Linked DNA regions of Arabidopsis thaliana. The protein of the gene in region 2 interacts with the protein of the main gene of each other region in a pairwise test. Each region holds a gene or a part of one and is shown on either strand. Other genes may lie near its edges.

Evidence for each region.
Region 1: the proteins of MYB34 (region 2) and AT5G57950 interact in a two-hybrid assay, tested with the Arabidopsis thaliana proteins (one large-scale study listed by BioGRID).

The regions. Positions count from the first base shown.
Region 1 is NC_003076.8:23,458,445-23,463,358, forward strand, and holds AT5G57950 (26S proteasome regulatory subunit), read left to right. Parts: upstream 1-2,228; 5' UTR 2,229-2,233; coding exon 2,234-2,461; intron 2,462-2,546; coding exon 2,547-2,607; intron 2,608-2,898; coding exon 2,899-3,003; intron 3,004-3,181; coding exon 3,182-3,536; intron 3,537-3,662; coding exon 3,663-3,684; 3' UTR 3,685-3,944; downstream 3,945-4,914. Other genes in the region: CNGC5 (cyclic nucleotide gated channel 5), read left to right, coding at 228-538, 679-790, 929-1,165, 1,327-1,995; AT5G57960 (GTP-binding protein, HflX), read right to left, coding at 4,689-4,802, 4,895-4,914.
Region 2 is NC_003076.8:24,492,158-24,497,485, forward strand, and holds MYB34 (myb domain protein 34), read left to right. Parts: upstream 1-2,133; 5' UTR 2,134-2,871; coding exon 2,872-3,004; intron 3,005-3,096; coding exon 3,097-3,226; intron 3,227-3,438; coding exon 3,439-4,063; 3' UTR 4,064-4,214; downstream 4,215-5,328. UniProt on the Arabidopsis thaliana protein: Transcription factor involved in tryptophan gene activation and in indole-3-acetic acid (IAA) and indolic glucosinolates (IG) biosynthesis. Acts as a direct transcriptional activator of both Trp synthesis genes and Trp secondary metabolism genes.

The DNA.
Region 1 (4,914 bases), 1.0 Mb from region 2:
GACATGTAAAGGAGCTTATTGAGCTTTCTGGTTAAGCCGTCTATGCTTACCTTTGATGTTCTATGCAACCTTTCGTTTTATCTTAGTTGATGTTCATGCCTCATGGGATCACAAATGTCAAGTTTCTTATGACGAGCAACTCTGATTGTATAGCTTATTTACTCTTCAATAATAGTATTGACTTGGTAAGTGCTATTTTGATTGAGCCACTGTTTCGTATCTTGCAGATAGTTGGAGCTTTTTGGTACCTTTTAGCCTTAGAACGTAACGACGCCTGCTGGCAGGAGGCCTGTATAGATGCAGGGAATTGCAGCACAGATTTCTTGTACTGTGGCAATCAAAACATGGACGGCTATGCTGTTTGGAACAGAGCCAAGGAATCTGTTCTTAAGTCCAAGTGCCGAGCTGACCTCGATGATAATAATCCTCCATTTGACTTTGGGATTTATACACAGGCTTTATCGTCTGGAATTGTCTCGTCCCAAAACTTCATCGTAAAATATTGTTATTGTTTGTGGTGGGGCCTTCAGAACTTGAGGTAACCATGTTCTATCACTATTCAGTCGAAAGACTATTGCTTTGATCTTACCAATTCTCACTAAACTCGGCTCCTTTATCAAAGTTATGCGTCTATGAGTTTCAGATATTCATATAGTACTTCTCATTGTTGCACCACAGTACACTTGGACAAGGGCTTGAAACCAGTACATACCCAATGGAGATTATATTTTCCATATCTCTCGCCATTTCTGGGTTGATCCTCTTTGCTCTTCTCATTGGAAACATGCAGGTGAGTAATTATGGTGCAACCTTAGCTACTTTCGTGATCATTAGAAATTTCTTGTAAGCTCTTTCAATGGAAGCATCATGCATAATTTGTTTCCTCTGCATAATGACTATCTAACAACATTTTGCAATCTTGGGACAGACATATCTCCAATCTCTTACCATCCGGCTTGAAGAAATGAGAGTAAAGAGGCGTGATTCAGAACAATGGATGCATCACAGAATGTTACCACAAGATCTTAGGGAGCGTGTGAGGCGCTATGACCAGTATAAATGGTTGGAGACACGTGGTGTAGATGAAGAGTATCTCGTTCAGAATCTTCCCAAGGATCTCCGGAGAGACATCAAGCGGCATCTCTGTCTGGCTTTAGTGCGAAGGGTAAGTTCTCCCCGCTGTTCCTTATTCAAGCTTCTCACATAGATCACACACCCTTTTGAACATCTAGGACCCATTGAATAACAGTCGGCTCATAACTAAAACGAGCTCTTGACCATCGACAAGCTAGCTTGGTTCATGATACGTTTTTACCATAATATTAGGTTCCATTGTTTAAGAGCATGGACGACAAGCTGCTGGATGCGATCTGTATGCGGCTGAAACCATGCTTGTTCACAGAGAGTACCTACTTAGTGCGGGAAGGAGATCCTGTAGACGAGATGCTATTCATAATACGTGGTCGCCTCGAGAGTGTGACAACAGATGGAGGCAGGAGCGGTTTCTTCAACCGCAGTCTCCTGAAAGAAGGAGAATTCTGCGGGGAAGAGCTTCTGACATGGGCATTGGATCCAAAATCAGGTGTAAATCTCCCGTCTTCCACGAGGACCGTGAAAGCTCTGACAGAAGTAGAGGCGTTTGCGCTGACCTCAGAGGAGCTGAAGTTTGTAGCAAGCCAGTTCCGGCGCTTACATAGCAGGCAAGTGCAGCACACATTCAGGTTTTACTCTCACCAATGGAGGACTTGGGCTGCTTGTTTCATCCAGGCTGCCTGGCGTAGATACTGCAAGAGGAAGAAAATGGAAGAGGCAGAAGCCGAGGCCGCGGCTGTGTCCAGCTCAACCGCTGGACCTTCATACTCCATTGGGGCTGCATTTCTTGCCACTAAGTTTGCGGCTAATGCGCTTCGCACCATTCACAGGAACCGGAACACAAAGATTAGGGATTTGGTGAAGCTGCAGAAGCCTCCTGAGCCTGATTTCACTGCTGACTGATGATTGAGCAGCTTGTAGACATTATTGTTTATAATTTATGGGAATCATTACGGTTGAGATAAACAAATATTGCTTGGCTTTAAAGCTGCTTGTGCTGTCTGTAAAATTAATATATGAAGTGTAGAAACAAAGAGATTATAGCCGTTGGATTTAATAAATGTACGGTTAGGATCATATGCCGGTTAAAGAATGGGTCTATTGGGCCTTTTAATGAAGCCCACAATATATTCACGGTGACATGCTCCGGTCCCAAGGTAGAGAGAAGTTGCGATTGATTTCGGTGAAAGAATTAAGAATCGATCGGACTTGGAGAAGAGAAGAGAAGATGGTTGGCGCGAATCTGAAAGCGGAGACGATGGCTCTAATGGACAAGAGAACAGCCATGGAGACGGAGATGAACTCTATTGTCGAACGTCTCTGCAATCCCGGTGGTCCTGGTCTCTCCGGCAATCTCATCGACTCGGAGGTACTGTATCTGCGTCCTCACTCTTCTCTAATCTTAACCGAAAATTCTGCTTAATTTTCTCCTTTGATTCGTTTGCTTATGGCAGGGATTTCCTCGGGAAGATATTGACATTCCCATGGTGAGAACTGAGCGCCGTCGTCTTGCTGGTGATTTCTCTTTTCTTGTGCTGAATTAGTCCATAGTTAGGGTGAGACTACAACTCCAAGGTTAGTTTAAACTTAGGAAACATAGCAGAATCATACTGATTATATGTAGTTTAGGTTTTTGTCTTGGCTAGTTGGCTTGAGGTTTATTCATAGTTTTGTGAGCTGGAAATGAGATTGAAAGGAATCAAGCTTGATGTGTAGCTTCTACAGTGAACCAGTTGTTAAGTTTTTCCCTACTTCTTCCGTTTTGAGTTGGTTTATTTATCTGAAATAGTTTCTACACCCACACAGAGTTAAGGAGTGAGCACGGGGAGATAACGGAAAAGATAAATGTGAACATTCAAATTCTTCATTCAGTGAGGCCTACATCTAGAGCTTCATCCACAAAAGATTCAGGTATGACTGTACAGGAAGAAGCTCCAAATTTCAGCTTGGAATCTTTGATTGGCTTAATCATCTTTTCTGATTCTGGTCCTTTTTCTTAAGGCTATGATTAATAGAAGTTCATTTTATAGTTTGAAACCATATGCACGACGTGGGTGGATACAAAGCTTATGAATAGATAATGATGCAGGTCCAGAAGAAACAAGCTTGTCAGGTGCTGCAGTAAATTCTTTATCTGCCTCCATGCAGACATCTGGCTTCAGTGTTACTTCCGGTCCCATGGATGTGGATGTGGTTACTAGTATTCCCTTTGCAATGGTTGATGAGATAAACGAGTCATCTCCAGCAGCAGAGGGTGGATTACAGCTTGGAGATCAGGTTTTGAAATTTGGCAACGTGGAGGGTGGTGACAACCTGTTGCAAAGGCTTGCCGCTGAAGCTCAGTCTAACCAGGGACAAGCCGTTTCTGTTCAAGTTATGAGGCAAGGTGCAAAAGTCGTCTTATCTGTCACACCAAGGATATGGCAAGGCAGAGGTCTATTGGGGTACATACTGATACTGCTAATATACTTCAATAGTTGATCTTTTTACAAAAGAGAAGGAAACAAACATTTCTCCTTGTCAACTGATGAATTGTTAACTCTTTCCCATATGATATTCTTCCATTGCAGGTGCCATTTCCGTTTGGTATGAGCAGCAGATACTTCCTTGGATTATCATCTGGGGGTCTGGATATGGTGAAAGCTTCTGTGAAAGCTAGTCGGTGATGAAGTCTATTATTGCAAAGTAGAGAACAGTGTTTTTCAACTTTTGTATGGAGAACCCAACTAAACAAATAGCATTTGTTCTGTAGCTGAAATAGACAATTAAGAGGCTTCATTACTCATCCTAACAATGGTTTAGGTGGTGGATTAAACAAAAGGATAATAGAATCCCAAATCATTGAGTTTACACCCACTTCACTGGAACCTAATAAAGTTGATGATCACCCACTAAGAATTGGTGGGGGTGGTAGCAAAGTTGACGTCATACTATCCATTTGGAACATTCTCATATTAATATTTATATATTTAGGCAATCAGGTGAGAAATTTTGTTACTTTGTATACAGAGCAAGTTTTGATTTTACATTTTTTGAGACTTGGGTTAAAGATATGACTCCACCACCAAAATTGAGACTTGCGTTAAAAGATACAAGGATGGTGGTAGATTTTTCTCTCGTAATAGTAGAAACAATCTATGTATTAGCACGCCCTCGTCCATAAGTATAAAACTCAGCTTTGGCGGAGTGTTTTGCTATCTAATACATGTCCGTTTATTTTTCCTCTCTGCTTTGAGAAACTCTTGAGTTTGAGATTAGAGTGTTTTTGGGTCATTGAAGTGTTGTTATTAGTTATAGTACCCAATGTTTCCAAATTGGATGCTCTATGTACAAAAAGGGTTATCACTTATCACTGTTGAAATAACATTTCCAGTGTCAGTTCACGATGTGAAGTAGGTTCAAGCTTATCTTGCTTGTGTCTAGCTGCATTCCTTTTTATCTACGAATATTCTTTACTGTCTGACTGTCATTCTTTGTGGTGTGTATGATCAGAAGGTTGTTTGAATTCCTTTTGCTTTCGGATGCTTTGGCAAAGCACACGTAGCCTCCGATTCTGACCAAGAGGCAGGCCTTCAGGTTCTTGCTATGATTCTGGTTCATCCTCTTTGGCTTATTGAAGTATCTTTGACCAAGTGTCTCATAGGTTTAAGCAGCTGTGCAAAACGTAGCGGAACGTGTGCCCTGATAAGTGTCCCATTCTCTGTATATTCCTATATACGCAACAAACACAAGACATGAGAATCAAATGAGTTATCTGAACAAATAAAGGAAACCAAAGTAAGATGGTCGGTCATCTACTTACAGTTTCTTTCACCATTCCAA
Region 2 (5,328 bases):
GGATCTCTCTTACATTCTTTTCAGAAATATGTTCGTCGTGTCTTATTATTAGCTGTCTATCTACAAAATATTTTGAATGTATTCTTGTTTGTTAAAGAATAAAAATAAAAATATAAGCTCTAATTGATATGCATATATTTAATTAGTTGTGTCTCTTCTGATAACCGATATTGTAGACCACCCCTTATGACACAATAATGCTGATAAAATATTTAAAAAATAAAAATAAAATATTCGAGAATTATTGTCATGCATCCAATGATTCAACAAGATTTTATCATTTAAGCTCTAATTGAGTATTCTTGAAATAGATTACCCACCAAATTAAAGTGAGTGAGAATTACTTCAAGAATACCACAAGTGGTGGATCATTGTGCTGTTATACTTTATATAGCCGAAAAGTACTAGAACAGAACAAGATGATACATTATTGATTAAATGGGACTCTTGTGTAGCAAAGATGAATATCCAAATTCAGATTAATATTTGAAGTCTACATATTTTCAATCTCTAGCAAAGATCCATATGTCACTGACTACTAAACTAATATTATACTTGATTACTCTTCTTTGGTTTATAAAAGTTATTATTGAGTATGCTTTCTAAAAGAGTTGTTATGATATATTTAATAAATGATATTTTGTTTAATTACGCAGTAAAAGAAACTGTAAAACTTTCTATTCTTTTGTCAGAGGAAAAATATTAGTGGGTGCAAATTGTTAGATAGTGGAGTTGAACTCCTCACTTTGAAGGCTTTGCGGGAGAATCTCAAACAACTTTGCCACTTAACTGATTTTTCTAAAAACTTTTTTTGGTTCAAGAAGATATGCTTGTAAGAACTTTACAGTAGAGTTTAACGTGTTATCTCACTAATTAAAATCAATAAAATCACATGGGAATACTTTTTGCCAGTATTTTTTGATCATTTGTTAATAAACTATATACCAAGTTGTGATCTTTTGTGTGTGTTGGTTTTATCAATTTCCTAAGAATTATAAATATGCACTATATCTTGTCAGAGCTTATCTTCGACAACAATTTTAGGTTTCCAACTGCTCGATTTTACATTCTTGTGCTTTGCAATGGGTTGATTTATCTTATTGCATCGGGAATCAGAAAGGATCCAACATGTACCACAACCACATGAGATCTTCACGTCAGTCCCTCGTAGTTTACATACGTGCAATAACTTTTTTACTAAGAACTTAAAATCCAAAATATAATATGTTCGTATAGCGGATGTTGGAAGACATATATATTAATTCATACACAAGGTTTTTAGACCCTTTTAACTTTCTATCCTTTTTTTTTTTTTTATTACAATTCTACACATATAGTTTGATATAAGGACGAAGACTTTTTTTTGATAAAGGATGTAAACTTATAACTAAAGGTGAGCACAAACTTGTGTTTTCATATATGTCGTCCTGTTTTTAATTTCAAACCTCATCCCATATAAAATTAATATCCAACAAAAAATTTGTATCACAAAAAGCAAATTTTTGCTAACAAAAGAAGAGTTTTTGAATTATCAAAGAAAAAAAGATTTTTGTATCAAAATAAATTCGTCTTGGATCACAACGGTCCGGTTCACCAGTCCAAATAACTTCACCATTGTAGAGGATACTTGATCCCAAAAGAAGTGATATATATTTTAATTTGGTAGACCTTTTTTTTTGCTAAGATATTTGACCCCAAAAAAATGTATATCACCCCAAAAGACGTTTCTGTAGACTTATAATTATTATTAGACCGCAATCATTTTTTCTTGGTATATCAAATCCTCCAGACATACATTTATCAGTGATCTTACAATCACATTTTTTTTTGTTAAATGGTTTTTCCTTGTTTAATAGTTAATCAATGATCATACTAGCTTCCCTTAATCATACTAGCTATAAAATTAAAGATGAAAAAAGGTTGTGCCTTTAAAATCAAATCCTCCAGACCTATGCTATAAAATATCCGATACATTTTAAAATATAATGTCATAGTCATGGACTCATAGTTCAACCTTCACTAGTATTAAAAGTCAGTAATATTATTTTGAAAGAATACAAATAGCAATAGTATAATGATAGTAGCATTAATTATTGATTGAATGAATCAATTATTATTTTAGCTGAACAATTTTTGTGAACACCGTATCTCCTAGAATCGATAAAAACTTTTACCCAAAATCTCAATGTTCCTTGATCTCGCAAGAAACAAACTAAAACGGACAAGAGCATCAGAACAGTGTCATCACTCATCAGTATATGCATTTCCGTGTGACCGCGAACTCTGACAGATGCTCAACTGATCCAATGACAACACTGCACGTGGCATTTCCCCACAGTGACTTAGTGGCCTGTGTATAGAAAGATTTAAAGAACGTGTAATCCCAACCATTCCTCCATCAAAGATATATCGATCATTTCTTTTTGACAGCAATAATTTTTAATCATTTTATCTGTCTCTCTGTTCTTTCTCTCTCCCGCAGTCCCTCTCGTAATTTTGCTATATAAGAGCACCTCTATAATCTGTGTGAGACAGAATTATAAAAAAAAAACATTGATAGTTTTGTATCTAAACTCAATATATAATGATAACACGTTCACGTGTTCATCGTCAAAAGAGTGTCTCAGTGAGTACAATCTTCAGGTGTCTTCTAGTTTTGATCAGACGCTCTATTCAATTCTCTTAATTAGTCATATCTTTCTTTCTTTTTTCCTCGTTTCGTGTTAATTTTATTTTAAAACAAAGGATTAAAGAGTCGTTCTTTCTTTTGGTAACATGGAGCCTTAATGATCCTTTGTTAGCTCTAGCTAGGATTTTACGTACTACTTAGGGTATTCAAACTAAAATAAAATCAAGAAGAAGAGCAGAGAGATGGTGAGGACACCATGTTGCAAAGAAGAAGGAATAAAGAAAGGAGCTTGGACTCCTGAGGAAGATCAAAAGCTTATTGCTTATCTTCACCTACATGGTGAAGGTGGATGGCGTACTCTCCCTGAAAAAGCTGGTATATATTTTTTTTTGTCATATATAGGTTTAAATATTAGCTACTTTTTAATTAAAAGAAATTATTGTTATAGTGTGTGTAAATGTATATAGGATTGAAGAGATGTGGAAAGAGTTGTAGATTGAGATGGGCTAATTACTTAAGACCCGACATTAAGAGAGGAGAGTTTAGTCCTGAAGAAGACGACACTATCATCAAGCTTCATGCTCTTAAGGGTAACAAGTAAGTATCTCTTTTTTTCTTTCTTTCTTAATTCAGTTTGGATTAGATAATCATTACTATATGTGTAATGTTGCATGAAAATACTTTACTTTTCATCTCAAATGCCAACCATAACTTTTTAAATCTTTTTTGATAAAGATTCCAAATCTTCATTAGAATAAAATAATATTTGTTAGTATTATTTTATTGATAGTTGTGTTTGATTATTGAAGGTGGGCCGCAATCGCCACTAGCTTGGCGGGACGAACTGACAACGAAATAAAAAACTATTGGAACACAAATCTCAAGAAGCGGTTGAAGCAAAAAGGCATCGATGCAATCACTCACAAACCGATCAATTCAACCGGTCAAACCGGTTTCGAACCAAAAGTAAATAAACCGGTATATTCATCCGGTTCCGCTAGGCTTCTTAACCGCGTCGCAAGCAAATACGCGGTTGAATTAAACCGGGACTTACTGACCGGGATCATCAGTGGAAACTCCACCGTCGCCGAAGATTCACAAAACTCCGGCGACGTTGATTCTCCGACCTCCACATTGCTCAACAAAATGGCGGCAACATCAGTTTTGATCAACACTACGACTACATATTCCGGCTTCTCCGACAACTGTTCTTTCACTGATGAATTCAACGAATTCTTTAACAATGAAGAGATCTCCGATATTTACACGACTGTCGATAATTTTGGGTTTATGGAAGAGTTAAAGAGTATTTTAAGCTACGGCGATGCCAGCGCCGGAGTTATTGAAAATTCGCCGGAGGTCAATGTAGCTGATGCAATGGAGTTCATTGATTCCTGGAACGAAGATGACAATATGGTTGGAGTCTTTGTCTGACGAGTCAGACTAAAATCAATCTTACGTTGGTTTTTTCTTTAATAAGCTGTGATAGATTCGTGTAATCGTCACGTAGTCAAAATAATGTGCTGTTGTAAAAATTAATAATAATAAATATTTCTACTTACATGAATTTGTTTACAAATCCGGAAAAAAACACGTTTTTTACGAAAATACATATGTTTTGTTAATTTCATATGACATGCCACTAACGGAATTGATAAGTCTGTTACACATTTTTAGAGTCTCATAAGTCATAAACTATATAAAAATTTTAAAATGACATATACTGACCACCGTTTTCTATCAAAACAATAAAATTATTTCCCAATTATTGGTATAAAAGAGCTTTTAAAAATCCTGATTTGACAAAAAATATTATTGCGGATAGAGTCCAGGGCTAATTCTTCTTTTTTGCTTACATATAATTAATTCTAGATTTTTAATGATGATATCTAACGAATGATGTAGATTAATCTGCCCGTGGTCAATTTTTGTTTCCGTTACCATTAACAAAATTGTGTATGCAGAAGAGCGTTTAACAGAAAAAAAAACATTAAATTTTGTTCGAGGCACTAAAATTAAACAATTACATATTGTTGTTTGGACTCATACCATTTAAAACTAATGTTTTGCACACCGTGAATTTTATTGGTGATACATTGGAAAGAGAAAAAGCAATAACAAATAAAGAGATAAATAAATGGTATTACTACTTTTGGTACCACATATTTTTTTTGGTGCAAAACTTTAGGTACCACTATAATTTAAAGTTTTTAACATGCAATTTTGAACCTAGCGATTTTGACCAAGCTAACAACATTTGACCTACACAATCTCCAAATTGAGATATCCATGACTTAATTAGGCACACTTTGATCTTTAACTTTTAAAATCACTGGTAGTATATTTAAATTCGAAATGCAAATTTGCTTTAACGTAATAAATCAAATTTAGATCAATAATTAAAGTGTTGAAAAAACTTAAAAACAAAGTATATTCCTCTGCGAAGACTGCAATATTCCCTAACAAGTGAAACTCCCATTCCGTATTATAATATTCCTACTACAATTATTTTCATATTTTGGTGGATTCACGTGAATACGTAATCTTTACAAATATATCACTCATACTAGTATATGCAGAACACACCAATCAAGAATCGTCAGCAGCACTTTTTGATTAGTTTCGAAATTCTTATTTTTCCTAATACTAGCTATTTAATCCGTAGTTCATGATGTATATATAAAACTGATATTCAATTG